Schizosaccharomyces pombe: one gene and its partner. The protein of the gene in region 1 binds, or shares a complex with, the protein of each later gene. Each region holds a gene or a part of one and is shown on either strand. Other genes may lie near its edges. The genes, in order: spt4 and spt5.

The links.
Region 2: spt4 (region 1) and spt5 share a complex: the UniProt entries of both Schizosaccharomyces pombe proteins name them as parts of the spt4-spt5 complex.

What each region holds. Positions count from the first base shown.
Region 1 is NC_003423.3:3,812,114-3,826,915, forward strand, and holds spt4 (DSIF transcription elongation factor complex subunit Spt4), read right to left. Parts: upstream 12,882-14,802; 5' UTR 12,841-12,881; coding exon 12,523-12,840; downstream 1-12,522. Other genes in the region: acylpyruvase Oaa1, read right to left, coding at 29-75; rib7 (5-amino-6-(5-phosphoribosylamino) uracil reductase), read right to left, coding at 349-1,155; UBX domain protein Ubx4, read left to right, coding at 3,412-4,689; SPOM_SPBC21C3.12C (thioredoxin domain-containing protein), read right to left, coding at 4,928-5,302; rps1901 (40S ribosomal protein eS19), read left to right, coding at 6,185-6,260, 6,417-6,775; SPOM_SPBC21C3.14C (uncharacterized protein), read right to left, coding at 7,271-9,796; SPOM_SPBC21C3.15C (aldehyde dehydrogenase), read right to left, coding at 10,455-12,023; protein psg1, read right to left, coding at 13,491-13,960, 14,011-14,101. UniProt on the Schizosaccharomyces pombe protein: The spt4-spt5 complex mediates both activation and inhibition of transcription elongation, and plays a role in pre-mRNA processing.
Region 2 is NC_003424.3:1,054,311-1,071,620, reverse strand, and holds spt5 (DSIF transcription elongation factor complex subunit Spt5), read right to left. Parts: upstream 7,878-17,310; 5' UTR 7,755-7,877; coding exon 4,782-7,754; 3' UTR 4,667-4,781; downstream 1-4,666. Other genes in the region: lysophospholipase Plb3, read left to right, coding at 1-1,482; wdr55 (WD repeat-containing protein), read right to left, coding at 1,805-2,890; transcription coactivator Rqt4, read left to right, coding at 3,169-3,848, 3,903-4,590; BRCT domain protein Rad4, read left to right, coding at 8,760-8,825, 8,883-8,990, 9,057-10,829; trm402 (tRNA (cytosine-5-)-methyltransferase), read right to left, coding at 10,876-10,912, 10,951-11,478, 11,517-11,783, 11,844-12,998, 13,107-13,156, 13,206-13,226; autophagy-associated lipase Atg15, read left to right, coding at 14,206-15,480; DNA-directed RNA polymerase subunit Rpb5, read right to left, coding at 15,979-16,453, 16,665-16,747, 16,812-16,886; mannosyltransferase complex subunit Alg1, read right to left, coding at 17,153-17,275. UniProt on the Schizosaccharomyces pombe protein: The spt4-spt5 complex mediates both activation and inhibition of transcription elongation, and plays a role in pre-mRNA processing.

The DNA of each region.
Region 1 (14,802 bases):
AATAAATCTTGAACTTGTAACAACGTACGCATAGTTTCTTCCAATACAAACAACCTTGCCGGCCCGTGACAACATGGTTGACAATTTTAGTGAGTGACTGTAGTATTCGAAAAATATGGGTAGCTTATAAGTCCACGGACTTTAAAATTTTTCAGGTTGACTGGCGGATTGAAACTGTCTTACTAGGGTACAGCTTTCAACTTCGCTATTTCTGTACCTAAAATTATAAATATGCAAAATCAAATAAAGTTGATTCAATCTGTTTAATAGGTAAAAGCCTTAGCGAAAAAAAATAGATACACCGTTTCGGTAATTAAATATTCCAAAAGACTCCCGCTAAGGAGTTTACTAAATAGCGTCGGAATTAGTTAACAGGCTTTTATAGGATTCGTAAAATTCATCGGAATAATTTGTGAAAATCACATCTGGTCCGCATGGATACCAATGGGAATTTGTGGTCAAGTTTAAATTATTCAAGTTTTTAATTTCCGTCGTATTGGAACATGAAAAAATTTTGGGAACAATGGTAACCACATAAGCATCAATGTCGGTAGACCCAAAAGCTTTGGCTAACAGCTCTGCTCCTCCCTCAACCATGATTCTGTTTACACCATTTTGCAACAGCTTGTCGAGCGCCACATAATCCGACCAACTGTCAGGTGAATCCTCGTTTCTAATGATACAGCGGCCTCCAACACTTTGAATGAGCTTGACTGCTTCTTTTAGCTTGCTATCGTGTTGAACCTGTTGCCAAATACTTGGTGCAACGATAATTAAAGGTGGTTTCCCCAAACGCTCACGAGCCAGCCGAATGACTTTAAGAGATGCATAATCCAAGCGCAGATTAGAATCCACTATAATAGGAATAGGCTGTTTGTTTAAAGGTAACAGGCAATCAGGATTAGCTGGATCAGGAAGCTTTGCAGTTAAACTAGGATTATCGTTTTCAGCCGTTCTGCTGCCGACCATGATTCCATCAAACTTGGTACGGAGCAAATGGGTCATCACGAACGACTCCTTCGAAGACAACCTGAGTTGTCCAAGAGAAGGCGATTCCACGACATAACCTATTCGACCATTGATAGACTGAGCCCATGTTAACAAGACATGCTTTTTGTTAGCGGAAGGAGGAAAATAAGCTTGAGATGACTCCATAGGGCAAAAAATGTAAATAATTAAAACAAGTTTATGTACTGCAAACTTTGATGTTACAATATTTGAGCTTTTATCGAGAGTTAACGTAGTCCGTCAAAGATTAGGTCAAAAGACAAAAAGTAACTGAAAGTATTAAGGATAATAGGAAGAAGCCTAATTGTTAGTAAAGGGGCATAACAAAGTCTCGATTTGGGAACCTACCATATGTTGTATGTTCTGCTATCTACTAAATGTATTCGCATTCAATATTATATCATTCATCTTAAAAGTAAATTTTCCGAGTTGACTAGAAAAGAAATACGCATCATCTTATATTTTCAACGTATACGACTTTTACTGAAGAAGTCAAAAGACGATAATTTCCACTTCTTTTGCTATGGATAACTTTTATGAGCATACAGCAATTGTATATAAGTATGTCAATAAACTCATTATAACGTCTAAACCGGATTGAAATGATAAATAATATAATAAGTACTCCACCGTTGTAAATTACTCGACCATCAATCATAAAGAGCTTGTGCTTTATGAGCGGCGTAAACAAATGTCCTAAAGCCTTATATAAAACACCTACGCCAAAAACCTAATGCTCCAAAAAAAAAATACCGATTTTACTATTAACAGATTTGTTTTTTCCCTTAATAGCATTAGTTTGGGGACATTCTAAGACAGTTGTTAATTCTAGTTAACAATTGTTTTTGAACTTGAACAAATAATGATTACGCACTATTATTATTTTACACCAGTTGTTCGGCTATCAATCACCTCTAGCAATAACGTTTCGTAAGTTGTTTGAGAAATACGAAGCCTCCTTTTAATAATACTATCTTATATAGTACAAAACATAAAGTTATTATAAGTAAAGTCCCGAGTGGCTCAATCGGTTTAGAGCGTCTGACTCTTATGATGGTCATCAGAAGGTTGCGAGTTCGAGTCTCGCCTTGGGAGTTAATTTTTTTCAATAATCGCTAAATTGAAATTACATAACTTAACCGGCATGATAAGAAAAATAAGGGTTATATTTTATTTAGCGTTTAGTTTGTCAATACCTGAAAGACATTAAATGCTTACTACCAAGCACCGGCTATACAACACATTACCGCGTATCGATTGCCCTTGCATCCTATCTCACTAAGGCAAGCTCTCTTCCAGCTAATTTTGAGAGAAACGTGCTAAATTCATTTCACTATTGTTTTAAACACAAAAGCTTTTAGAGGAGTATTCATAAATTATATAACCGATTTAATTTTAGACTATATTTATTTTATGCTGTTCTGTATGCCAAGAGCCTCCTGATGGTGTAGTTGGTTATCACATCCGGCTGTAATTAAAACGATACCGGTTGGTCGCTAGTTCGATTCTGGCTCAGGAGATTTTTTTATTTAAATCATAATTGAATGAGCCTAAATGACAAAACAGTTATTAAACAATTTTCGCAAATATAAACTAACAGATGCAAAGAATTGGGAGTGTATCACCCTGGCTACTTGTGGTACCAGAGTAGGGTGAAACACCACCTCATAGAAATTGACCAATTGATAACATTTTGCGGTTATTTTTTTAACAATAAAAATGGATAAGGGATTTAACAAATATATACTAATTTGATAAAGACTGACTAAACGTATAGAGCACGAATCTACCTGTGTTGTATGAGAGGTCGTTCTCTTCCAAGCACTTTGAATTTAAAAATAGAAAAATTCTCAATGATTTACTGTTAGCAAGCAGTACATTTATTTCCTTTCACGCCCCTTTCCTTTTTTTTTTTTTTTTTTTTTTTTTTACTCATGGTTTTCAAACACCTTTTTTTGGCTAATTTTGAACAGGATTTGTTTAAATATAACAAAATTGTCATCCAAAAGCTTCTTATATTTAATGAAACCTTTATTAAATATATATTTTTATTTTTATCTCACAAATGCAAGTTATTAATAAGTTGCAATGAAATTCAAATAACCGATGCTAGGATATATTCCTACTGGTTTTTGCCTCTTTAGTAAAATGGAAGTTAATAAGTACGGCAAAACAATCAATTTTTTTTTTAACAATGATTTTTTTTACTTCGTCCTAAGTTTTCAAAACCTTGATGAGATTGTTAAATTGCTTTTGTTTTTATGTTATAAGAATATTTAGCGAGTTCCGTATATCTTTGTCATGACATAGTGTAACACTAAGCAGCGCATATTCTCTGCTTTATAAGAACCATATATTGAAAATACTTAACCTCTACCGTTCGCAAATTAGGAAGTAATTAAAATGGCGACTATTTACGCGTGCAGAGGGTTTCATCGAGTTCCCGTCAAATTGTCGCCATCTTCAACTCTTCAAGAAGTCATCCTTTCCTCCTATAAACAACTTGGATTTTCTGACTGGCATAACCTTGAATTATTACATGGCGATAAAAAGGTAGATACCTCTTTGCTTTTACGGCTTTCTGGTATAATCAATGGCGCAAAACTGATAGTTAAAGAATCTGCCACCAATCAAAGTGGAAAATCTTCGAGTTCAATTAGCCCCCAATCTAAAAAGATCAAAGTTGCTCTTCAACTTCCTGGAGCTGCCCGTATCATTGATGAGGCTTCTAGTGAAACATCTATTAAACAATTGTTAGAGCGACATTCTTTGCTTACGAAAGTAAGCCACGTTCTAATTAATGGTCGAAATTTTAAGTCTGAGGAATTTGACAATCCTTTGTTATTGTACGGTATTCGCGAAGGATCTATTTTGATTAGATTGTTTCCCATTAAAGCTCAACAATCTATTGTTTCGGAGCAGGCACCAGTCTCTCAAACTTTCAATGGTGATGTCAAAGAAAAAAAGAACGCAGATTTGATGGATATTGAAAGTGAAAATAAAAAAGACGATATTGTAGAAAGTTTTCCCAAATACCCAGTTGATGCTCACAAATTACTGGAACCACTGCCTACGCCTATTCCATCGCTTCCATCTACTCCTTCTTCTTACCAAAACTTACCTTCACAATCTCTTACAGGTGAATCACTCCCTACCGTTTCAAATCAGGAAAAAGATGAGGGCGTAATTGAAAAGGTTGCAGTTAACAATACTCCGAGTGTCTCTTCTAAATCTCCCTTTCCAAAAAAGAAGTCGTTTTCATCCATGCTAGCACAGGTAAAAAAAGAAAAAGCTGAAAATAATGGATCAGACGGTTATGATTTACAACCAACCAAAAGTCAACTCGAATTATATCAGAGTATATTAAGGAAACGGGCGAACCAAGTGTCATCTACCTCACTAACTAAATCATCTTCTCCCAAACCTTTACCTTCTTCTGCAATTGTAAAGTTTGATTTCGGTAATGGCAAGTCCATCGTACATGAATTTAGCAAAGATGATAACATCGAAACACTACGAGCTTTTGTTGCCTCCCATCTTTCTCCGGAAGAGTCAACATCTTTTCAACTCACTTTTAGCAACTATGAGGCATTACCTACGACAGGGTTAATAGTTGAACACATAGGTCGTGCAGTGGTTCGTGTCCATACGATTTCAGATCCTGTTTATGCACAAAGGTAAAATCTGAAAATTTACGACCTTTGTTTAATGTTTCTTTACAGTTTTTAATGGATCAAGGATTCAAAAATGATAAAATTGCTGGTGCTTGGGGTTTTTATATGTCTCTATTAATACTTCAATAAATGACTGATATAATACTTGGTGTTGCGAATATATGCTATAAGTTACAAATTTCCATTAAATTTAAAAAGTAAGATGTATATTCGTGTGTTAAAAGCGTAAAAGAAATATTGTAGGTTTATATGTCGATAAACTTTGAAAACTTGTTGGCGTCAAGGCAGTCATAATCTACCAGTAATGAGGTTTTAAGATTTCCTTGGGCGTCTCGAGTATATTTACCTAAAGTGGGGACTGCACTGATACCAAATTTCACTCGAAATTCATTGTGTGGTGTTTTCCATTGAGGCATGTTGCCAACATAGACATGGACAACATTGAGCTTTTTAGAGCTATTAAAGGCATTGTTAAAGAGAGGCAAAGCCGCACGAACCGTTGGACACCAAGGCTGTTTAGTACGAGGATCAACAGAAGCAAGATAAGCAACGAAAAGTGTCTCATTTTTAGCAACGTTAGCTAAAGTAGATTCCAGTGATTCTTTCAATGGTAACAACATTTTGGTGGTCAGACGTTTGGATAAATACAAATATTTTAATGAATATTGAATACAGTGGCTTGATCGTATCTTAAAGTAAATGTTAAAACCAGAATTTTAACTATTTCCTCAATTTCAAACTTGCTATCGGTTAGTGAGAAAGTAGCATTGTCCCATTACAGATTCTCAGTATTGAGAAACATTAGCCTAATTCAAGACAAAATTCCATCTCTAAATTACAAAGTTTGTAAAAAGAGAAGTCCTTCAGTAGTTAAGGAATAAAATATTTTTGTTGACTTGACACTGTGTGAATTGGGGTTTTCGCTATAAGAACAAAATACAAAATCTGCAATCATAACTTCCGCTGTTTAAAAATTGAAAAACAATACATTTACAGAATAAAAAAAATTTATTGAAAGTATAATTAGTTAATTACTGATTATATTTAACCCTGCAGAGTATGTCAATCGTGCATTGCATTTGCATTTTATAGTCAGTGCTTTTTATAATTTGAGTAAATTACGATTTTTTCATAGTTGGAATAAAATAATAATTCTTTTATATAATGGAAATTTTATTAGTTGCGAAAGTAATAAAAAGTACTTCTACTGCAGGTTCAACATAATAATACTGATTCAGCAGATGAAAATATTCAAGCGTTACTTTTACTAACTAATTATATTAAGCAGTTTGACAGGACGCGGTAAACCGATTTTATGTTTACCAATTAGTGAGTTATGACAATAACAGTCACTTTACTACAATAACGCTTTGAAATTACGCTACCTTACGCTTCACTTGCTTTGTGTAAAAGAAAATTAGGGTAGGGTAGAGGAACAGTCACATTTGTTTCGAAGCCAACATTTTCAGATTGGAGAAGCTTTGTAACAACCACACTGCACAATGGCTGGCGTTTCTGTTAAGGATGTGGACGCTCAAAAATTCATAACTGCCTATGCTGCTTTCTTAAAGCGCTCCGGTATGTCTATCCTATTTAAAAAAATTAGTTTTGTCGGTGGATATAATACGATATTCGATATACCCATTTGGTTGTTCTCGATGATCGAAAGGGTCGTAGATTATACACCTGAAAACTAACATCTATTATTTGTTAACTTACTAATACAATCTTTAGGCAAGATGACTACTCCTCAATGGATTGACATCGTCAAGACTGGTACTCACAAAGAGTTAGCTCCTTACGACCCCGATTGGTATTATGTCCGCGCTGCTGCCATTGCCCGCCACATCTATCTCCGCAAGCAAGTTGGTGTTGGCCGTCTTTGCAAGGTCTATGGTGGTTCCGTTAACCGTGGCATGCGCCCTTCTCATCACCGTGATGGTTCTGGCAGTGTACAACGCAAAGTTGTTCAAAGCTTGGAGAAAATCGGTGTTCTTGAAAAGTCCGACAACGGTGGCCGCCGTATTTCCCAACAAGGTCAACGTGATTTGGACCGTATTGCCTACTCTCTTTTGGAAGAAGAAAGCGAGTAAGCATTTCTATAGTCTTAATCTAAGTGTTTAAGTGGCTTCTCTTAATGGGTTTATTGAATAAGTAGACGAAAAAAATCGTAATATAAATAAACCTTTTACCTTTAAACTGGCATGTAATCCCTGTAGACTTTTCATTACCGTATCAGACATATTAATATAAAAACACATGGATTATTTATTAATTTCTATTCTCCTAATTTTCTACGAAGTATACAATAAATAGTAATAGGCACGTCGACGATCATGGTATTACCATCTGTCTACTCATTCTCCGAGTAAAATACTCAAGCTCAAATACTTAGTTTTTCCTCATTTTCCATCAACGAGCGTTCAGCAAAGCAAAAGAACTTAAATAAGCTCATTAAATCTTGACTGGTTTAGTCTGTAGACGTTAAATAACATAAATCACATAGATACTTTCTTTCCACAAGTCTAGTAAAAATACTAAACTTAATTGAATTCCCATATCATTAATCCATTTCCCTTTAACTATGCTCAATCTGAAGTGAGCTCTGATTCAACATCACTGGAATAATTTGGCAATGGATCAGTTGGCACCTCAATAGGTAAAATAGTATATACTTTCTCAGCTTCAGAACTAGCGACATCAGAGAGCGGAGTAGAATGAACCTCCTTAGTTATTGAAGCTTCATTTTCCGCATGTAAAACGGAAAATATCGTATCAGAACTAGCATCCAGATTATCAGCGCGACTTACTTCGGAGTAATCCTTCACACTATCAGTCTGGAGGTTAGAACTATCAATTACATGACCATCTTTTTCCAAGCTTGGATCTTTAACATCAATAGGTAAAATTGAATAAATTTTTTCGGCTTCAGACTCTGGAATATCACTAGGCTTAAAGGAATAAGTCTCTTCAGCAACAGATTGTGGAACATCAATAGGTAAAATGGAGTAAACTTTTTCGGCTTCAGATTTTGGAACATCAGAAGGTAAAAAGGAATAAGTTTCTTCAGCAACAGATTTTGGAACATCGATAGGTAAAATGGAGTAAGCTCCTTCGGCCTCAGATGTTGAAACATCAATTGGTAAAATAGAGTAAACGTTGTCAGCTTCGGATGCAGGAATATCGATCGATGGAAAAGTGGAGAGTCCTTCATTAATATTGTCATTGAGCGTGCCAGTGTAACTTATTTCCTGTGTATTGGAAGAAGATGTACTGGTTGCTTGATTTGTTTTAATAGTTTTATCACTATTTAAATCATTGAAGATTTCATCATCCTCATTGAGTAAAGAATCGCGTTTCAAAATTTTACGCTCAGAATCAGCTCCATGGGTTGGAATGCTTCTTTCATATATTTCAAAAGATGCAGTACTGAAATTGACATCATCACAGTCAGCATGCTCATCATTAATTTCAACAATTTTATGGACCTGATCGGAAACGAGATAATCAAAGTTAGGAAGTTCAGCAGAAGATCTATCAACCATTTTGAGTTTATGGGAATTTTTTACAGCAGTTAATCGCTGGACTGCACTAGAAGCAACACTTCCTATCCGTGAAAGGTGTTGTTTAATAACGTTGTCAAGAGTTTCGCCATAACGGTTACCAACCTTTTCGCTTTCTGCAGTAATGTATGAATATACTTTCTGAATCAGTGCATTTAGTTTATTCACTTGCTCAGCATTGTGTTTTATTCCAGAGCAAGCAGCAAGGGCTACCTCAGAAGAGGCAGCAGCTTGTTCGCGAATTGAATTAATGCCCATCTCAATGTTTTCAGCTACGTCCGCACGAATTGAATCACTTAGAGTCCTGAGTTTAATAGCACGTTCGTGAACCCTTAAAATAGAATCTTTAACGTATTCAAATAGATCCATAATTGCCTGATCGTAATTAGATTCTTCGGCTTTTTGAATAAGATTTCCTAAGGAATTCTCAACTGCCAATACACGAAGGTTAGAGATCTCTTCAAATGCTTCAAGTTCCTTTTGACAACTATCGGTAGCCTTACGAAGAAGATCTTCCCAATGCTCGGAAACTGAAAGAGTAAACGTAGAAACCAAGGTTTCATACTCATGCTCAAGGTAATTCATTGCGTTGGAGAAGCAGTCATTTTGACTGTTGAAAGTAACAGAAGAGGGAATGGAATATTCAGTTGCCGGCTCTTCTTCTGCAGCTTCCATTGGTACAGGCGTTTCTACAGACTTTGTTCGCGATAAGATAGTAGGAGAGGATGTGTAATGTGCTGAGCTGGACGCCATGGAAGCAGACATTTCAGACAGTATTTTTGAGCTTGTTGCTGATGCAAAGGCCTCCGATTTTTCCTCGACAACACTCTCATAAATATGCTGAAGTTGGGGTTTAATATGCATGTCCAGAAAGGTACGCAAAAATCTTATAGACGTCTCAATCATTTGAGTGATTGTAGCCTTAGCGGCAGGAAAAAACACATAGCGTAATTGCATGTAACCATCCATTGCCCCTCTCTGAATAATGGGTTTATAATGGTGATATGCCGGTATAGCATGAATCTCCCAAAAATATTGAAGCTTCTCGGCAATGTCCCTCGAGATGGTACGAACTTCTTGTACAACTCTTTGAAAAAACGGAATCAGAACATCAACAATAAAAAAATGAATCCTTTCCTTCCCTGTTGTATAGAGTTCACGTAAATTATCGCCATCCAACACTTTAGAGCCAATTTTCCTGGCTTTTTCGTTGAATGCTTTTATACAAGGTGCGACTTTTTTATCGATTACTTCATTAACCTCATATCGAATATTCTCAACTTTAGGCTTTGCATGCTCATCGTAGTAAGACTTTACATTAACAGTAGCCTGCTTTGCAGCATCTACGATAGGACTGGCTTTAGCAATTTGAGATTGAACAACCGTTCCGTAGGGACGGACGTGATAATCATATATACTTTTCAAAGCAGCACCTTTGTCCTGCTTTTTGGCTTTTCTAGCTAACACGCCATTATCTTGAAGAATAAGGGAAAATAAAAAAGTAATAATAAATGCCCTTGCTATTGCTTTAAAGTATCTTTCGATTTTCATTCTATGAAACTAAAGTGTACAGTTAGAAAGTAAAACTAACTTATTTGAAAAAGGAAAATGGAAACAATAATTAAAAACACAACTTTACTACTGTAGTCAAAGCAGCAATATTTTAGCTGCTAGTTGTGGTCAGCAGATAGGAAGTGGGGAAAGATGTAATAGTCGAGCAACCTATACTAAGAGTACTCAATCAATTATCGTGTACCTTATATACCTATAGAAGCGGGAATGCCAACACCAATTTTATTATTCAAATAAAAATAATCAGTATTTGAGAGTTTACAATTATAATATATGGACGAGTTTCGCATAGACACATTATCGAGATAAATTCAAAAAAAATAAAAGGTAAATTTTACTTAAAAGTGACAACTTAAGAATAGAAATAATTTAATACCAACATGTGATCCACAATTTGTAAACAAACAAGCACTTTACGAGGTTGTCTGTCAAACACCATATTCAATACATTGGTCCTACACCAACTTATACAAGCTTTTTAGCTTTTCTCTATTGACAAGCGCGTACTAATTGTTTTTAAATACTCACTATCAAATTTAAAAATTTAGGTATTGTAATCGTATACAAAGAATGGAAAACTAAAGTTTCAAAGAACAAAAAAATGAGTGAAGAAGTGGTACTTCAGAAGATACAATACTTAAGAGTTACGCCATAATTGGTAAACATTAGGAACAAGACTGATCCAAGCGCCATACACAGTTCCCATAAGACCGCGAACAAATTGCCAAGCCTTTTGAGAATCGGGAATAGGATAGTCAACAGCAGGGGGAATGCCAGTATGGATGGCACTAAATCGATCGTAAGCAATAGCCTTGGAATTGCAGATTCCGCGTAGACCCTCATATCCGGCAAATCTTCCATAACCACTTTTCTTGCAACCACCAAAAGGCATTTGTAGCAAATAAAAGGCACCAAAATCATTAACAGCAACCATACCGGTTTCCAAATTATCAGTGAAATATTGACATAATTGCTTATCCCGGCCAAACACGGATGCCCCCAACCCAAATTCAGTACCGTTAGCAATCTCTAAAGCATGTTCGGGTGATTTTGCTCGAAAAACAAGTGCAATTGGAGCAAAGCACTCTTCTTGGGCAATCTTCATCTCATTAGTAGCATCAACAAGCAAAGTGGGTAAAAAATAATTTCCTTTAGGATACTTAGGATGTTGAAAACGGTGACCACCGTACACTAAACGAGCTCCTTTGCTAACAGCATCCTGTATTAAAGATTCTAAATGATCAAATCGATTATTAGATACCATAGCACCCATATCGACATCATTTTGGGTGTACATGCCAAGTCTCATAGTGGAAATTCTGTTGTATAATTTCGTAATTATGGTGTCGTAAACGCCATCCAAAGCAATGATACGCTCAATACCAATACAATTTTGTCCGGCACTTTGGAAAACACCTCGCATAACTATAGACAAGATCTCTTCTAGTCTGTGGTCGTCAGTTAAAATACAAGGATCTTTTCCTCCTAATTCAAGGCACAAGGGAGTAAGTTGTTTTGCAGCAGAAGCAGCAACCAATTTTGCGATAGGCTGAGAACCAATGAAAGTTATATGCTTAATTCCAGAGTGACTGGTAAGGTGATCAGCAACATCTGGTAGACAAGTAATACATTGAACGAGTTCAGGGGAATGGCCCATTGATTGTAATAAACTACGAACCATTTCACAATATTGATGTGTAGACCACGCTGTAAGCTCGCTTCCCTTCACAACAATAGCGTTTCCAGCAAACAATGCAGAAATGATAGGACCCAAGGCATTGTGAAGAGGATAGTTCCAACTAACTAATGCAGCTATAACTCCCAATGGCTCATATTTAACATAACCTCCTTTATATGAAGTTAACAACGAGTTAGGACGTTTCGTAGGACGCAAAGACTGCTCTCCATTAGCAAGCGTCCAGTTAATTTTTTCTAATGTAACCAATATTTCACCGAACGCGGCATCTACCAATGTTTTACCGGTATCTTTGCAGGCAATTTCTGCATATTTATCTTGGTTTCTAATAATGTTTTCCTTCAAAGCCTTCAAAAAATTGCGCCTTTCAGCAAATGAAGTAGATTTCCATTCTTTTTGGGCTTCTTCAGCCAAGATGATTGACTGATCAATATCAGACTTGTTGAATAGCTTGACTTCTCCAAGCAACGACCCGTCTCCTGGACAATAGCATGTCAACGTAGAGGACATATTGGTTTGATTTTAAGTTATTGACAACGTGACAAAACTAAGGCAATAAATACGCAAACAATCAAAAAGTGTAAAGAAAGGAATTTGGTTATTCAAAATTTGTGCAAAACAGTCTATATTTTTAGTTGAGCCAAATTTGTTAGCTAGAAAATCAAGGATGTTAGCTCTCGATGCTTCAACAAAGGAAGTTACGTTGATCAGATTTCCAATGTTACAAGTGCCGAGAAAAGGCGTTCGTATTGACGAGAATCAACAATCTTGAATAACAGGAATAAATATGGTGTTTCCCAGTTACGAGATGGGTTATAAAACACCACACCACCTGACATTAGAGAAGTACAACGCATTGCACCATAGCCCAGTCTTTCACAACGGGGAGGAAGAGCAATGGCAAATTTTAAGTGAAGAAATTTAATAAAACGATGTAATATTGACATTTGTGAAGAAAAATTTCAAATAAATTTTTGATAACTTTACAAATTTAAGACCCATTAGAAGACTAATCCCATGATGTACCATTCCTAGGACGATAGTTAATGCCTCTGCGACGCAAAGATTCAACTACATCTTCGTTTAATACACCTTGAACACGAGTCGCATAGATTCCGGGAGTAAAAGTATCGATTCTCTGCCATCTGGCAACCCAAGATTCGGTGGGACTCATCATTGCCATTATTCCTTCAAATACTGGCGAGGTAAATGTTTCCACGTCGTCTACACCATCGTTCGGACAGCCTTTGTTAGCAAAAACACTATGAGGCAAAACAATTCCACAAATGAGACATGCTCTTGATCTAGTCCTATTTAGCTTATCCATGCTGTGAGGTTTATACAATGCAAGTGTGTTTGGTTATGGTTGAGTTACAAACACGAAAGAAAGTGCAATACCTATCAAACAAATATTAATTATAAATGAACCAGAATATCGAACGAAGCTGCTTAATAAAACAGTAAAAGATACACATTTTGTATTTGCTAGCTAAACGTTTAATGTTGCGATATCAGTCTCTTAATTACAATTTTAACCATACAACTCACAAGTTCCAGGAAAACAAAAATTTTATAAAACTAAATTAAACAATAAAGTCTAGCCATCAGAACTAAAAAATGATGGCCTCATTATTACAATAAAGGAGCATGCGGTAGCGACAATTGGAAAAGTTGTGAGATAAGAATGCAAAACTACACACCCAAAGTGTCAATTTGGGTAAATCTAATAATGGTATTTTACATGAAAAGTACCTTAGATAAATAAACATGTGACCCAAAAGCTGTATTGGAAGCATGCGTGATTAAGGAACGAATAATGGAGTAAAGCGGACAGACAAGGAATGGTGAAAGAGGCCATTGAATTTAAAGTTAAGAAGCAATGCGTATTACCTTCCAATTAATAATGGACCATTTACTCTATAGAAACAGTTCTGATGAATGAGATAGTATATTTTTTGGCGCAGAAAAGTAGAAACGCTAATGCTTTCTATATGAAGACATTTCCAGCTCTTTCTCGTTTTTTAAAATCCTTCTTTCTCTCCTAGTTGCAAAATGAAGAAATAGAACGATCAGTATGCAACAGGATAAACCAACGGATAACCCAATTGCAAGTTTCTTGTCAATCGGGTTTACAGAAAATGCAGGGGAAACATCCACTACCATCTTCCAGTAAAACGTGTTCGCTAATAGGACCTGTGGACCCACATATACCGTGCTGGCGGTACCATTTTGAGGAACAGCAACAACTCGCGCAGTAATGTTGTCCATCTTCATAAGCCATTTCTTATCTATCTTTACCATCCAGTAAGTTTGGTTGGAAGGAATAACACCACTGCTCGTAATCAATGTGTTATTGGAGTCGGCATATTGCAAAGCAATTTCGACAAACTGTTCAGTGGGTTGTTTCCATTTGACAGCATAAGTAAATCCTCTAGCCCATCGAGAATCTTAAACAAAAGTCAGTTTTACAATACTAAAAATTAAATAAAAAACATACCTTCAGCAGGAGTGATGAACTCAAATTCAGCCCGAACAAGATTGATAAAAGTAAGGATTAAGAATAAAGCAGATCCTAGAAAGAATTTCATTTTGTGAACCCGAAGTTTTCTTTGTAGCTTAAAAAAAATAAAAAAACGGTCTTCTCTAACGTGAATCTTACAATGTCTTTAGCATAGACTCAGTGATACGGCAATTGTCTGCGGAAGATACATCAACAGCCAGGGACGGAAGTGTAAAATTAACTCGTACTCGTTAATGCGATATCATTGTATATATTCGAATGATACTGTTATCGTATTCAACAAAAAAAATTAGTAAATCCTTTTTAGAGTGGAAATATATGAGTTGAAAATGCTGTCATCAGAACCCAGATAACTTTACACTAATAAAATAAATTTCGGTTATTCGTTTGCCGTATCCGCATGGCTTAAAGTATAGAAAGAAAAAGCTATTTATAACAGTCTAGCATATAATTATGTTGGAAACGAACTGCAGTAGTAAGCAGTAAACAATAAACAAAAACCTTTAACAATGTACAAGAAATAAACAGAAAAAATAATAATATTAAATTAATTTAGTAAAGAATCAACCAAGTGTTGAAGAAATCTCAAAAATTGGTTATGACAGGTGTGCTGTTTATTGTTTACATACTAAAAAATTTTGATAAATTATGCTTTCGTTCTAAATAGGACTCTAAATGTTACCAGTTATAGAGCTAAAGTAAATTTTTTTATAAAGGAAATATATGTAATTTAAATTACTAGCTGGTCTAGTAATTTACTTTGACACT
Region 2 (17,310 bases), on another chromosome or scaffold:
CTTCAATCCGCCATGTATATCGCTGGTCTTTCTGGTGGTTCATGGCTGGTCGGTTCCGTAGCTGTTAATAACTTTGCCAATATTACTTATCTACGTGACAACGTTTGGAATTTGGAACATAGTGTCTTTGCTCCTCATGGTGACAATGTTGTCGAAAATCTTGCTTATTATGACGACCTGGATGATGAGATTGATCAAAAGAAAGATGCAGGATTCGATACTTCTTTGACCGATCTTTGGGGACGCGCTTTATCTCGTAAGCTTGTCGATGCTACCCAAGGTGGTCCAAATATCACATTTTCTAGCATTAGAAACCAAACTTGGTTCCAAAATGCCGACTATCCTTATCCCATCATTATATCTGACAGTCGTTTGGAAGAGGAAAAAGCTATCCCTGCCAACACCAGTATATTCGAATTTACTCCATACGAGTTTGGTACTTGGGACAATGGTATTAAAGCTTTTCTCCCTATGGAATACGTCGGTACCCATTTAAAGAATGGTGTTCCACCAGACCATAAGTGCATTCGTAACTATGATAATGCCGGTTTTGTTATGGGTACTTCAGCTACATTGTTCAACACGTTTCTGTTAGAATGGAGTCAGGAAGTAACGTCAAATAGTACTCTCTATGATATTATTCATAAAGTATTTGAAAAACTTTCTGAGGATCAAAATGACATCGCTCCTTACCCCAATCCTTATCAGAATTTCACGACTACAAACACCACCGTCAAAAACCCTTTTGAGCGATTCGATACTATTGATTTAGTAGATGGTGGTGAAGACGATGAGAACATTCCTATTTGGCCTTTGTTACATCCTCAAAGATTTGTTGACGTTATATTTGCTGTTGACGCAACTTATGATGATTCTAATGGTTGGCCTGATGGCTCTTCTATTGTTACTACATATGAAAGGATTATAACTTATAACGCCAATAAAAGTGTTGATGTTCGAGGTTTCCCGTATATCCCTGATGAGGACACAATCATTTCCTTGGGACTGAACACTCATCCAACATTCTTTGGATGTGACGGCAGAAACACTACTGCAGGTAATCATACCGTAGATAACAATACACCTCCTCTTCTTGTTTATTTCCCCAATTATCCTTGGGTTTACTATTCCAATATTTCCACGTTTACCATGTCTATGAATGACACTTTGTCCAGTGGCATTCTTGAAAATGCTGCTCTATCGGCTACTCAAAACAACAGCGATTCATTTGCAGTCTGTTTGGCATGCGCCATGATACAACGTTCCTTGGAGCGCAAAAATATGTCTACTCCTAGTCAATGCTCTTCTTGTTTTGAACAATACTGCTGGAATGGAACAACCGTGAACAACCCTAGTGCCGTTTCAAACTATGCTCCTACTGTGTTATCTGCATCAACCACTTCTGGTACCTCTTCTGTACGAGCCAAACCTATAGTATTTTATTTATTTGCTTCGCTTCTAACAGTTTCGTTACTATTATAGACGACGAAAGCCTCCCCCACTCACACACCTTGGTATGAGTCACTTTTCGACTTGAAAGAATTAAAAAGCATAGACTGAGTCAGGCTTTTATTTATTAATTGTAAGGTATTAATCACTACCAAACTTGTGGGGTTCAAAGGTTTTGTAGTTTTAGTGTTAGTGTTAGTGAATTCATTTTAAGTTTTCGAAGCACAATGTTTCTTTTCTCTAATGAAGATGTTTAGTTTAGTTAATTTAGGAAGATCGCTTTTATTTTTAAATATACAGACAATTAATTTTAATAATGATTGTGCAATTTTATAGATATCAAAGCTGTTTTGAATTATAAACCGTCAAAAAAGTCAGTTCCTAAAGGCTTTTTCCCTTGATTTCCCACCTTTTTCTTTTTCTTAGGACTCGAGAATTCAGAGTCGCTGCTGGAATCTTCATCACTATCTAAATTATCAGAGGAGGATGACTCATCTCCTTCCTTCTGATCAACCGGCCAGAAAGCTAGTTCGGTTCCACTACAGGAAACTAAAAAATTGCCTTCGGTAGTAACATCCACAGCGTCTACGGTTGATCGCGAAGAGTGTTGCCCTATAATTCTTTCGTATTTGTTTGGAAGAATGTGTAACAAACGTATACATCCGTCGCTTCCGCCAACATACAGACTGTCAGAATCAGCACGAGTTATTGTTTCTATTGAAAAATCATGGGACCGAATTGGCGATAAAATGCGATCGGTATGATCCCCCCAATCACCCTTTGTAAATAAAGTTATAACTCCACTGGCAGTACCAACAGCAAATTTCTTTTTTGAATGCTGATCCCGTGTAAAAGCTCCACAGGTCATTTCTTCGTCTTGTTCTTCACTCAATATTGGTTTTTTGAAATTACGAGCATCGATTACTGACAAAACTCCATCACCACTAGTAGCAACGAAGTATCGTTCTTCAAATGGGCTAATAGAAGATATATAGTCAATATGATCATTATGGGTATGGATAATGCCTCCCTCGGTGCGCTTATCCCAAACAGAAACACAACCATTATCATCACCTGTAGCAAAGACCATATCATTCTCAATCCATTGAACCACACTATAAGGAGAAATCTCCTTATTCTTATCCACTATCCATTTTGAACTCACTCTCCCCGTTGAGGTATCGGCGATTTTTAAAACACCATCTGAACCTACAGAAATGAATTCGGTACCTGATTCATTTACTGAAATATTTCTGCAGCTTTTTTTATGTCTTTTGGTACTCCATTGCTCGACCAAACTTATTTGTGCGACATCATATTGATAGCTACTAACTCTGCCGTTTGAAAAACCCAGTAACACTTGATTTTCACCGAAACAAGCTAAGTCGAATATTTCATTTTCAAATTTTTGTTTTATAGCAGCATTTATTGTTCCACCCATTAGGTTGTTTAGGACAAGTAGGCTGTGATTAGAGCTGGGCAATCCACCTCTCAGCACCCATTGCCCTGTAGCAAATTTGCATACCCTAGAATCGCGAATACTATTACACTACCAACTTGATATTGTTTTGGAAAATTTACATAAAGCATATAAAATTTTATTTGTACGAACTTCTTGAACTCATTTAAATAATTCAATAGTATTTTTTACTTGGGGATTCTTTATTCAAAGACTTTATTCGAAATCGTTAAACTACGAATTCTTTTAGAAAGTTAGACATGGAAAAATGGACGAAGGAGAACGTACTGAAAATTTTGCCAGTCGACGATGAGAGTGCCGCAATGATAACAAGCACTGCTTTAGCAGTCGATTCTTCCGAAGCCGCAAAAGATTATTGGATTTCTTTACTGGGGGATTCTGCTGAGACTATAGAATTCATTAGTGACTTCAATCAAAAAAGATTTCACTCTACGCATTCTGGTAATTCTCCATCGATCATGAAAAACAAGAAGAATGTGACACCAAATAATAATATTCGGCAAAAAAATACTGCCACATCTTCTCATCCAAGTTTCTATATCGCTAACAATAAGCAAAAAGGATATGATGAAGAAATGTATAAAGTCAATCCTGCTTCGAGGAATAAATCACAATCAAACAATATTTCATCACATGAAAAATCTAGCAAAACTACGAAAAATGTCTCTCCAGGCGTAATGACTTCTGACCTTATTCCGGAAAAGAAAAGTGTAAAACATAATAACTCTTCTTCTAACAGAATTGAAGGTCTCGCCGACATCGAAAAAGCTATACGTCAAATAGAGATATCTCAAAATATAAATAAAGCAGAAAGAAGAGTCTGCAATTGTCAAGGACGTAAGCATCCGCTTAATGAGGCGGCTCCCAATTGTTTGAATTGTGGAAAAATAATTTGCATTGTTGAGGGGATTGGGCCTTGGTAAGTAATATTACTACTATATCTTATTAACAAGTTTTTACTAATCTTAATTAGCACCTTTTGTGATAATCCTGTCATTAGCAAAGCTCAACAGTTGGAATTAATTCAAGAGTTGAAGCATGAGGGAAGCCGCTTAAAGCAAGCTGCCAATCAAAAACGAAAAAGCAAAACCGTTTCTAGTAAAAATAATTTTCAAAGGTTGCAAAATTCCTCCTTGCATTCAATTTTTCTCGATCCTAAACAACTAGAGCAAAAAGCTCAGGAGGCTGAAGAAAGAAAAAATGTCTTATTAAATTTTGATAGAACCTCTGCTCAACGAACTCGTATTATCGACGAAGCTGCTGATTTTGATCCTACTTCGCTAGCTTCTGATACTTGGGCATCTCCAGCTGAGAAAGCTTTAAATCTTGTTAGAATGCAAAAGGCCATGGCTAAAAAGGAAAAGAAAAAAAAGAAGGTATTGTCGATTAGTCTTTCAGGAAAAAAAGTTGTAGTCGATCAAAAGGAAGCATCTTCTGAAAGTTCTGATGAAGATCAGGATGAACTTGACAATTTAACTAAAGTTGAGGGCCAATCTCATAGTCATAACCCGAAGGCTCCTGTTATTAGAAATTTGCCTAGGCCTATTTACCATCAAGACCTACACTCTAGTCATGTCGCCGTGCCTGAATCTATTCTTAATAAAATAAATCAGAAGTGGTCTAAAGTTCAGGATGATGATGGCATGCCATCGATGTTATAAGTATGTTTATGTTAAAGTTACAAATATTTAATGTATGCTTTTATGAGATTCAGTTTTTTTAAATATACATATATGCATTTTGGTAAAGTGCGTATCATTTTAATATTATTAACAAGATTACGTTAATTAGAATATGTCTTAACAATTTTAACAAAACTATCTGTCGATATTTTCAAAAATTTGATTTTAAATTAAGGAGAAGGAGGTACATATTTGGGTGAATCTCCTTCTTCATCATCCCAACCACCTGGTGTGGGAGCAGCCCACGCACCAGGTGTAGGAGCAGTATAGGGCTTTGAATTATCTTCGGTATCCCAGTTAGTTTCACTGAATCCCCCGTATGCAGGGGTTTGTCCCCATGAGGTGTTAGTGCCATTAGCAACCATAGGTGTCTGATTAGCATTCCAAGCTGGAGTCTTAGTACCATTGTTCCAGGACGGAGTTTTATTACCAGCATTCCATGCAGGCGTTTTAGCACCACTATTCCAAGCAGGGGTTTTGTTGCCAACATTCCATGCAGGAGTTTTATTTCCGGAATTCCAAGCAGGTGTTCTACTGCCAGCATTCCAAGCAGGAGTTTTATTCCCAGAGTTCCACGCTGGGGTGCGACTTCCAGAATTCCACGCAGGTGTCTTTGAACCAGAATTCCACGCAGGTGTGCGACTTCCAGTATTCCAAGCTGGAGTGCGTGAACCATTTGCAACAGCAGGCGTACGGGCTCCTTGGGCCCAGTTTGGTACATTTGGTCCATCAGCGGTGCTGATACTACCAGGTCTTATTCCTCTAGAACGCTCAATAAATTCGGTATAGCTAATCAATTCACCAGTCTTAGTAGTATATAGCAGGTTTTCTTTAGGAATTGTAACCATTTTGTTTCCCGTATGTAACTCAACACGTGCATTTGCATCAGTAGTATCCTTAATAACGCCAAGTAATCCTTTCATAGGACCTCTGCGGATGCGTACAGTAGCGCCAATAGCTTTGTCACGTCCAATCGTTCTTTTCAAGTTAGCAACCGGAGGCAAAGCCGGCCCATTGGATAAAGCTGGATTCATTTTCGTCAAATCTGCTGAAATACGGGCACCCTTTGCCGCAATTGTTGCTACGTTACGACTGCGAGCGGAAAATACACCATTATTCTCTGCGATATCTCTGTTATGCAAGAAAACAAAAGCTCTGTATATGTGCAAGATCGTTCCCTGCTTTCCCTCTCCTCCAACCTCTTTTACTTTGTCGCCAATCCGAATTTCAGCCCCATTTCTATCTGTAGCCACACCTCGGCGATTGGAATGGCGCATGGTAATTTGAGAAGCAAGAACCGTTCTAACCCCTCCATTCTGATCAATAACTTTGTACGTATCACGATCGACAGAAAAAATGCAGGCAACCGTGTTAACATCCAGCTGCACTAAATCATGTAATTCATATGCAGAGTTAACAGCTTGTGCAGAACTAGCTTCGCCTAAATCACGAGAAAATACAGTCAACTCAGTCATAAGAGTATCACTCAAAAAAGTAACTTCGTCCTTTGAAATGCGGACAACCATACCGGTGTCATCCTTGTACTTTCCTGCTATAACTTTTACATAATCACCATGTCTAAACCTTTTCCTCAGGCCCCGAGATGGTACATCTAACCGTAAACCATCAGAGGATACCATGGTAATAACGCTACCTCGAACATTTTCAACAACACCACTTACTCCAGTCTGCTCACCAACATATACCTCGACATGATCTCCAGGCTGAAATTCAGCATGGCCCCCTTTGACGCTGAGAGCCAAAGAGCTGAGATCCAAATCCTCATTATTAGGATTGAATTTGGATACCTCGTCAAGTGTAGGATTAACTCCTTCAGTTATCAGTGAGGAAATACGAATGTCCTTTACCAAAAATCCATCTTCGAACTCTTCATTGTTGAAGAGGAAAAGTCTAGGACCACGTTTAGAAAACTTAGAAGGATTGCTTTTAAATGCTTCGCTTTCATTAAAGAGTCTTGCTTGAGGACGAGTGGCAGAATTCTTTCGTTTCAACCCATCGGAATAATCAATACGAGGAACTATACGTACACGTGCGGTTAAACCATTTTCTGAAAGGTTGTCAACCTGAGCGAGATCACCGGCGTACTTTCCACGGCGTATACGCACATATGCACCAGGCAACAGTTCAACAACCTGTTTTTGAACTTTGAGTAAATCCGGCATTTCCTTAATTGGAACTAAAATCATGTTATTTGTATAAACATTTAAAACCCCATTAAGTGCATCTAGAACATGTGATTGCTTTCGAGCTTCAACGTATATATAACCGACCAGCGAGTCACGTTGAAATGCTGAAATGATTTCTAATGGAGAGCTAGTATATTGCAAATCCATAGCTTTCCGCATTATGGTAAAAACAATATCCTTTTCTTTGCCAATTTTACAGCGAACAGCCCAAATATTGGGATCATTCACTGAAGGAAGTAGAAGACGTTGGGGAACATTGCTTGTATCTCCAACAACAGTTTGGCTACGACCATACTTTTCACGATACTCCTCAGCAAGGCGTTCAGCATCAACAGATTGTAGTTCCTGTCTTTGACGGTCAAGTTCACGATGGCGACGATCATCACCGACGTAATCCGCTCCAACTTCTTCTTCAATGAAACCATCTTCACGACCAATTTCATCTTCCTCATCTTCAAGCTCTTCCTCGTCCTCATCTACTTCTGCTTCAATATCAAGGAATTGGTTGCGGCGGTCATGGCGAGCCCTTTTTCTTCTACCGCCACCTGATTCATCTTCATCTTCCTCGTCTTCCTCATCATCTTCTTCATCCTCTTCTTCCTCTTCGTTTGCATCAGCTTCTTCCTCGTTTTCTTCAACATTATCCTCATCTTCTTTTTTGTCATTGTTATTTACATTATCGACTTCGTTTTCATTCCCATCTTCGCCTTTATTAATTGTGGTATCATTTGGACTTTCGTTATGGGAATCCACGGGAGAACTCTGTTTTTCATTTGTAGTAATTTTAGCAGCTTCAGAATCATCATTCAGCAAGTCACTTCCATTGGGGGATGCACGGGTAGAATTGATTTTAACTGAAGCAGCATCTTGCTCAGCTGCATCTACCTCAGTCGAATTTGCATCTTTATCAATAGATTTCGGAGAATTCGTATCCATTGTGACTTAAAAAAGAGGAAATAGTACCTATTCCCTCAATGCTTTGTTTTTAGACCTTTAATCTAATATAGGCGATAGGTTCGCCGATTAATGAACTTTTTATTCAACAAGTGGTGTTTTGTTAAAGGTGACTTACAGTACGTACTGCTGCCCTATTTTACCAAGCAAGTAGGTCTTGTATGGCTTGCAGCGACAAGAGTATAGATATACGAAAGAAGCAATTTAGAATGGAATACTTACGGTTTTTTTGTAAAATCAAACTTTTGCTTTAAAAGTATTTGCTTTAATGGTAAGCTTGAGCAATTGCCACTGCTGGTAAACAAACTTGTATACACGAAATGCCATACACAATCTTAAAGTTAGACTTGGTTTAATTGAAATTAAAGATAATGGGATGCTCAGATTATCAATAAATTCATCTTACATTTAAATTGTAATATTATGTTATATTCCATATAACTATGAACCCTTTAGGGCAATATCCCTTTGCGTTACTAAAATCCAATATAAATATTAAACTGGATAAGAGGATATTTTTTACCGAGAGAATATAGGACAAAGGTGGTGTCCATATACTATCTTCTTACTCAATAAATCTTATAATTATGATACAGGTTAAATGAGGAATAATATAATAGCCAGCTCTTGGTGCTTGTTCATAATTTCCCCCAAACCAATGATGCTACTCAGCTATACAGCATCGTGTACATTGCCAATACAGTCGAGTTTTTCGAATAAATGCTTAAAATTTAATTTTGGCCTTTTATGACTCTCCATTTGTCAATCTTCGCACCCACCACGGTAGCATATAACAACTTGGTTTTAGCTTCAATCTACTCTTAACCTTCGAAAGTCGATTTTCTCTAAACATTCTTTATTTTCCCTTTTAAACATTACCAATTTTTGCATTTCCTCACAATAATATGTAGTGGTGATGGACGCGTTTGTACTCGTAAATTACCTATACCTACTCACCTAGAACTCATAAATGTCGGTAGTGAAAGAATGGGTTCTTCTAAACCACTCAAAGGCTTCGTGATATGTTGTACCAGTATCGATTTAAAGCAAAGGGTAAGATTTTTGCACGACGAATCGCATTTTTTGTTATTTGTGTTACTAACTTGACAGACCGAGATATCTACAAAAGCAACTAAACTTGGTGCTGCCTATAGATCAGACTTTACTAAGGATGTCACGCATCTTATAGCCGGCGATTTTGATACTCCAAAATACAAGGTATGTCGTAAAATCTTACAAATTACACTATCCTTCAAGAGTAAATGCTGACATTCTTTTCAATAGTTTGCCGCAAAATCCAGACCAGACATAAAGATTATGTCTAGTGAATGGATACCTGTTCTTTATGAAAGCTGGGTACAGGGAGAAGATCTGGATGATGGCCTGCTCGTCGATAAACACTTTCTACCAACTCTATTTAAATGCCGGGTTTGTCTTACCAACATTGGCCAACCAGAGAGATCTCGTATTGAAAATTATGTGCTTAAGCATGGTGGTACATTTTGCCCTGACTTAACTAGAGACGTAACTCATTTAATAGCTGGCACCTCATCGGGTCGCAAATATGAATATGCATTAAAGTGGAAAATCAACGTAGTTTGCGTTGAATGGTTATGGCAAAGTATACAAAGGAATGCTGTCCTTGAGCCGCAGTATTTCCAATTGGATATGCCAGCCGAAAAAATTGGACTTGGCGCGTATGTTCGTCTAGATCCCAATACTACGGAGGCAAAGTCTTATTCTGAAAACCAAAAAATAAGCAAGAATAAAGAAAAGTCTGGTCAATCCTTGGCTGCATTGGCGGAGGAAGCGGATTTAGAACCCGTGATTATGAAACGGGGAAAGAAGAGAGATAGAAGTATTTTATGGGAAGAACTTAATAATGGAAAATTTGAATTTTCCAGCCGTTCTGAAGAAAATTCAGTACTACTGGATGATTTCACTCCCGAAACTGTTCAACCCTTAGAAGAAAACGAATTAGATACGGAACTCAACATCGAAAACGAAGCTAAACTTTTTAAAAATTTGACTTTTTATCTTTACGAGTTTCCAAACACTAAGGTCTCCAGGCTTCATAAATGTTTGAGCGATAATGGAGGCCAGATTTCTGAATTTTTGTCTTCTACCATTGATTTTGTCGTTATACCTCATTATTTCCCTGTCGATGAATTGCCCATCTTCTCATTTCCTACAGTTAATGAGTGGTGGATAGAAAGGTGTCTTTATTACAAAAAAATCTTTGGAATCGATGAACATGCCTTAGCAAAACCTTTTTTTCGTCCATCTCTGGTTCCTTATTTTAATGGTCTTAGCATTCATCTTACTGGATTTAAGGGGGAAGAACTTTCGCATTTGAAGAAGGCTCTCACCATCTTGGGAGCAGTTGTGCATGAATTTCTTGGGGTCCAACGAAGTATTTTGTTGGTAAACACAAATGAACCTTTCAGTATGAAAACTAGATTTAAAATACAACATGCTACAGAATGGAACGTTAGAGTCGTCGGAGTAGCTTGGTTATGGAACATCATTCAAAGCGGAAAATTCATTGATCAAGTTTCTCCATGGGCTATCGATAAGAAAGAAAATCAAGAAATAAAAAAATTTACAAACCAAAATAATATGGTATTTCCAACGTCTGATAGAGATACACGATTACAAAATTCTCTTGCTCAGCAGCCAATAGGACATTCTACGCCTCATAATTCTCCTTCCTTATTATCGGTTAAAAAGCGCCAAAACAACCATATTAGGTCTAATACATTGATTCAACTAAATTCTAATTCAAAAGATTCAACCATATTTCCTCGGAGATCCGTGACAGTACCGGGCGACAAGATTGATACTGTTTGGAAGTCATCAGTTACAAAACCAGAAACTCCGACATCTCCACAAGAGCATGTTTCATATATAGATCCAGACGCTCAACGTGAGAAACATAAGCTTTATGCTCAGTTGACTTCTAATGTAGATGCTATCCCGCCTGCTAATGATCTCCAAAATCAAGAAAATGGGCTTCTATTAATTACCGAGAGTCATCGAAAACTCCGTAGGCGTTGAAACATTGTTTATTTATATGTATAGTTTATGTCAAGTTTAATTATTTTTACACGTCCATTCCAAATAATTCCAACGAAAGATTTCTTAAAGTTAGTAACAAAAAACATTAAACGTGACTTACTGCTTCTCTTTTCTAGCAAGCATTAAATTACAGCTCGTAGGGCTTCGCCAGATAGGCTGTAATATTAACATATCCATGAGTGCACCATCTTTTGTTTGAGCATCCACTCTAAGGATGTTACATCCTAGAGGCATTTTTTCAAATTCCTTTTTTAACATTCCGCTCTCAGAAAACTGCTCAACATGTGGGTACTCGTTTTTAACCAAAATTTTTAAATCTTTTAACCCAGCATCGTAAAAATGCTTCTCGTTTAAGAAAGGGCTAATGATATTGACACCGTTACTATGAATACGAAAATTGCAAATATCTTTGTTAGCTTTTAGCGAGAAATCTTTCAACAGTTGACTGATTTCCTGCTTTACAAAGAATCTAACACCGCCGTGCACGAATTTCACACGATTCGTGTTGGCTTCAATAATTTCTTTGAACAAAGAACATGCAAAATAAATTGATCTAACGGGAATACCGCTTTGATTTCTAACAAAAAATTGATCACGGGGAAAACTAGGATCGATACCATAAAAATCACTATGGGTTAGTTTGCCTGCCATGGTAATATAACTTACACAATAGTTTTGATGCTAGTATCATCAGGATTAATGTATACGAAGGGCTCTTCATCAAAATAACTGTTGCCAGATTTAGTTAATGTAGAATTAGAAGCTTCGTCAACACCCTTTTCCGTCCTTTGTCTCTTGTTCTCGGGTGGTAGAATTTCCATACTAGCAGTATACTTTTTGGGATCAAACGAACGGGAATTAATAGGATCAGTTTTTTGGAGTACGGCCACAAAAAAACCACCAGTATTCTGCATATGGGGATATAGTCTGGCACTATTAAGAGATTAGAAAATGATAAAGTTTCAAAGTTCTCATCCAGGCAAATAAACCTACCATCTTTCTATGTGGAGTTTGCTCATTTCCTCCTCAGGAAGAGGCCACATGGATTCGGTTAACTCGATCTTATCATTGGTGTTCTCAGCAGGTGATTGAAATTCGTTAAGAGAATCATCCAAAACCTTCCAAGATAAAAGACCGGGATCACGCTTAAGTAGGGGTAGTTTTTTAGACACATCAACAAGAGAAACTGCACCACCAGTAGCCTTCAATGCAGCTGTTACAACAGCTTCATTTTCTATGGGATTAATGGAGCATGTTGAGTAAACCAAACAACCACCCACTTTTAAAAGTTGCAATCCTCTGATCAAAATTCTCAATTGCAAAGGGTGAAGGCTAAAGGCGCTATTGGCACTCCATTCCCTCCAAAGAGACAAATTTTTGCGGAAAGTGCCATCTCCTGAACAAGGCACGTCGGCTAAAATACGGTCAAACTTTAAAATTTTTTTTTCTTCAATTACATTTAAGCCGTCAGAAGGAGATGAACCTTTGACATAGATATTGGGCATTGTCGATGCATCGTGATTAACAACCAAAATATTCGGGGAATTTAAACGATTGATTTGGTGAACAAGCATTTGGGCTCGTTTGGGATCAGCGTCATTAGCAATTACAAGACCTTCAACACTCTTGAGATTTTTGCTGTCATGAGCAGCATCCTTGATATTGGCTTTTTTATAAACAGCTTCAATAAGCTGCGCAGTCTTAGATCCCGGAGCAGCACACATATCCAGAATTACATGATGTGGCTCAACGTCTAAGAATAGAGGAGGAAGCATGCTAACCGCTTCTTGACGATTAATGTTTCCAGCTTCATTTTCACTTACAAGAAACCGCTGAAGTCGTTTAAGAGGCGGGCTCTTTCGAATAACATCTTTTTGCGCATCGACAATATATGCAAGACCATCTGGGTACCAAGGCAGCACTGTTGGAGGTGGAATAGTTTGACCCTCATGGACGACATTTTTAAGGCTTGGTACGTAGTATTTTTCAAAATGGTTTTTTAGTTCAAAAGCATGGTGACGATATCCACAAATACGAAATGTAGTTGGTAAGGGCTTTCTCATATATTCCATAAAGCTATCAAACTCATCATTTGGCTTTCCTCGAAATAAATTTTGCTTTTTATAGTAACCTTCGAATTGTTTATTTCTGCATGTTAGCTGACTATTTCCTACAATAATGATCTTTTCAATGTATTTCTTAAAAATATCCCAATAAAGCTTTAAACCCCGTAAAAAAGCACCTTTGTACACTTACTCTAAGACAATTTCACTTTTGTCATTGTAAGCCCTTTTGCCCTGAGTCACCTATCTTTGTTAAAAAAAAAAAAGAAGGCCGATTAACAAAGTATCATACCTTTTTATTTCTTTTCCCCATTACAAACAATAATTTACTCACAAACCAGAGTTCAGTGTTTACTAGACATAAAAATTCAACTTCAATAGTGTTAAGCAAACTTTGCAATGCAATGTGTCTTTATTTTTTATTTACGAGACCTAGCACTTCTTTGAAAAAATGTTTATCGCTAAAATAACGATAAAGATCATGCTAACTAAGGTTCTGACGCTGAACAAAACTGCTGATTTGCATTTGTATTTGGAAGGTCTTGGTGACTTTAAAAACAGAAAATTCAGATTGGACATCTAAATTCTTCCAACTGACTTTAAAAATGTTTACGTTGATATCGTTATCAGTATGCGTATGTAGGAGAATATATCCATATATGACTTTATTCTTTTAGGGAAACAACAAGAGCTGCGCATACTGCTAATATAGTTAAATTTCAAGCGTTCATTATTGCCATTAAATAGGTTACCGCTAAGCATGGGAATAAAAAGCACCTAATGTGCTACTATAAAGCGAAGGATGATTAATTCATACCTTGTCCTCCATAGCAAAACATGTTACATTTGCAAAGTCTTTTCTGAGAAGGAACATTGCCGTATTTAGGAACAATATAAATAAATCTTACAATCATAGCATTATTATAGTCTAAGGCTCCGGTATCGTTATGAAGAACATGTCACAAAACCTGTATGCCATACATTCATCCTAAATTCACAAATTACAGTGTCCATTACCTAGATATTATATCAAATAGCGACATTATCAGCATACAACACCACGCTATGATGCGTAACTTACTGCAGTGTAATGTATTAATTATTGCTTACCAAAGGCGTTAAGTAACTTAAAACATCTATTTATGAGCAACATAAACGAGTTAAGCATGTACATGAGCTGATAAAGCATAATCATTGAATTATCCCATTGTATTTATTAGAATTGAGGATTAGATTCGCATAACGTTTTTCGGTTGCTCTTTTAAACAAAAGGAAAGCAAACTATTCATGCAATGTCTCAATTGCTATTCTTGAGGCGCTTTTTCTTCCTTTTTTGTTTCATCATTAGGATTAGTTGTACAGGAGTATTTGAAAGTGTTATCAAATCTTCGGAAAATGTGCCTGATAAGGTTAATGTCAAATTACAGCATGTATTTCATTACGGACTCAATGAGGACAGTATATCATATTATCGACTAGATGTGGCCAAGAAAAGTGTTTACGCAGAGAGTGAATCAAAATTGCCGTTGAAAATGAAGAAAGGATATTCCGTTCACTTGAAGGATCAGTCTCGCGATGCGTTGACTGATTATAGATATAAGTCTATGAAAGGAATTTATTCTGAAGCGAATTCACCAGCTGATTTATGGGAACAGGAAGCAATCGTGATTCCTGATATTACTGATAAAGAAACGATTTACTCCCTTGGAAAGATGAGCTACAATGCTTACCAAAAAATTCCTTTCGACGGGGACTGGTTAGATTTAGGACCTGATTGGAATATAACTCCACCTGAAGGATTTGGTTGGGAGGAAGATGGTCTACGTGGACATGTTTTTTCCAATGATGACAATTCCACTATAATTATTGCGATGAAAGGTACGTCCATCTTCGGAATCGGACGCGGTACCTCGCAGAAGGATCGCGTTAATGACAATTTACTTTTTTCCTGTTGTTGCGCTCGTGTCAGCTGGGCTTGGTCTACGGTTTGTGGTTGCTATAAAAATACATACACCTGTAGTCAAACTTGCCTTGAGGATGAAGTGCAAGATGACTCAAGGTATTATTCTGCATCATTGGATATTTTTTATAGTGTTAAAGAATTATACCCTGATGCACAGATTTGGCTGACTGGACACTCATTAGGTGGCGCTACTGCCGCTTTAATGGGACTTTCTTTTGGAATTCCAACAGTCACTTTTGAAGCACCTGGTGATCGAATGGCTGCCCGACGTCTTCATCTTCCAATGCCTCCAGGATTACCGGACGAAGAAAGTTTAGTATGGCATTTTGGTCACAATGCTGATCCAATATATTTGGGCAAATGCACAGGTCCAACTTCATTATGCTGGGCCGGAGGTTATGCGATGGAATCAACTTGTCATACAGGACAGGAATGTTTATATGATGTTGTAAAGGACAAAGGGTGGCATCTTTCTATTACCCACCATCGTATGCAAACTGTTTTGAATGATGTTATAGATGCATACGAAAAATTACCAGATTGCTCACACACACCGAATTGTGTTGATTGTTACTTGTGGGAGTTTCCTGATGATGATAGTTGAAAGGAGTGGCTGTCCTTTGCTTCAACTTCTGATAATGTCCTTAAAACTTTAACGAACGCCAAACTTTTCAACCTTCACACTTTATTAGATTCGAGTATGCCTATTTTCTAGTATACCTATAATAAAACTTATTTTTAGCTTGCTTAAAATAAGTACCAGCAAGAAGAAGATGCTTTAGTCTTCGGTTTAAACAGTCGTTTGTGCTATGATAACTTAATGAAATATTGATACAAAGCAGTACTGACTATAAACTATCTACTTTTGGTAATAAAAAGTAAACGTGAATGCCAACCCTTGATGTTTTATTGAATAAATCACTAATAAAGTATTGTTCTAAAAACTATCTAATCCAAAAATTTAAGCTCATTGTAATAGCTATAGACATTGCTTTATTCGATTTGAATTTTAAATTATTATGTTCAAATTGAAATTTTTTAAGAAAAAGAAAGAGATGGTAGTTTTGAAGCGATATTTCTAGCCCACATGTACCAATTAAAATTATGCACAAATTCTGTAGCTATTATAACGGCCACTAGTTTCACTTCTTCTGACAATCTTCACAACTTCTCCCCTTTTTAAACCAAGATAACGAGCAACAGGATCAGCTAGTTGAATACGGGGTAATTGAGTTTCACGTAACTTGTAGCGGTCTAAAAGTTCTTTTTTCTCATCCGGTGAAAGAAGAATATGTTTAGGAACAAGCTCATGATGAGTAATGTTGACAATCAAATCGCTTTCTTGGAAAGTCTCAATGGTAAACTGGCCGGTGACAGTAGCAATGATTTTAGCGGCACTTGGGGTCATGGAATTGGCATAAATTAGAATACCAGTTTTATGATTATGATCACCTAAAGTATGAACAAAAGTTCTCATTTCTTTAATACCAACGGAGGGCTCTTTTGCAAATTCGATATAGATTGTGCCTTTATTTGAATCATTGGAAGGTTTTGCGTAAAAACTCAAAGTTGTACGACTAAACGCATTAGCAAAACAGTTTTTAAAAAAAAATTGATAAAGGAAGTTTAGAAGAAGCATGTTCATCAATTAGAAAGCAGATTAAGAGTAAACCGATTTATAAATACCGGCGTCTATGGACATATACGCAGATATCAACAGAATTTGCTTCTATAATCAATCGGATTGTTTAATCCATTATCACGATGGATTTAAATAAATGTACATACTCTAAATTACGACCCATGCCACAATGCATGGCCTTGAATTGATCCAACGTCAAATCTAATTCAGCTTGAGAAACGCCGTAACCCTAAGTTATAATAGTTGTTAATAATTCTAATATGTTTGAAGAAAAAAGATTATCAAATACATACCCTGTCATGGACTAATTGATGAGCTGTCTTCCAAGCACGAAACACCCTAACAATGTTTTTTTCTTCCGCAGACATTATGAAAAATTAATAAGAAACAAAAATAGAAAAACTGAGTTAAAAAATGAGAATTGATCTTCTAAAAGAGATGTTCCCAAAAAGAGGGAGTTACGGCAGAGCAGTGTGCAGAAGATAGCAAGAAAATTTTGGTGGTGAGTTCTAATAATTATTAAAGTATTCGTTAAGCATGTATAATGCGGTCAAATAGTGTAACAACGATTGGATTATTCTATTAAAAAAAAGGTAATTAGGAATTCAGGTTTGAGAATGTAATATCTAAATACTTAATTTGAACCTTGAACTATAGGAGGGATGACCTTGTTCCATTCATCATCCCAACGATATTCAGATTCCTTGAGAGCACCCAGTTTCAATGAATTTAATTCATTAGCATGAGTTAATAAATACTAAAACAGTTAGTTATCGTACGAAAAAGCCAATA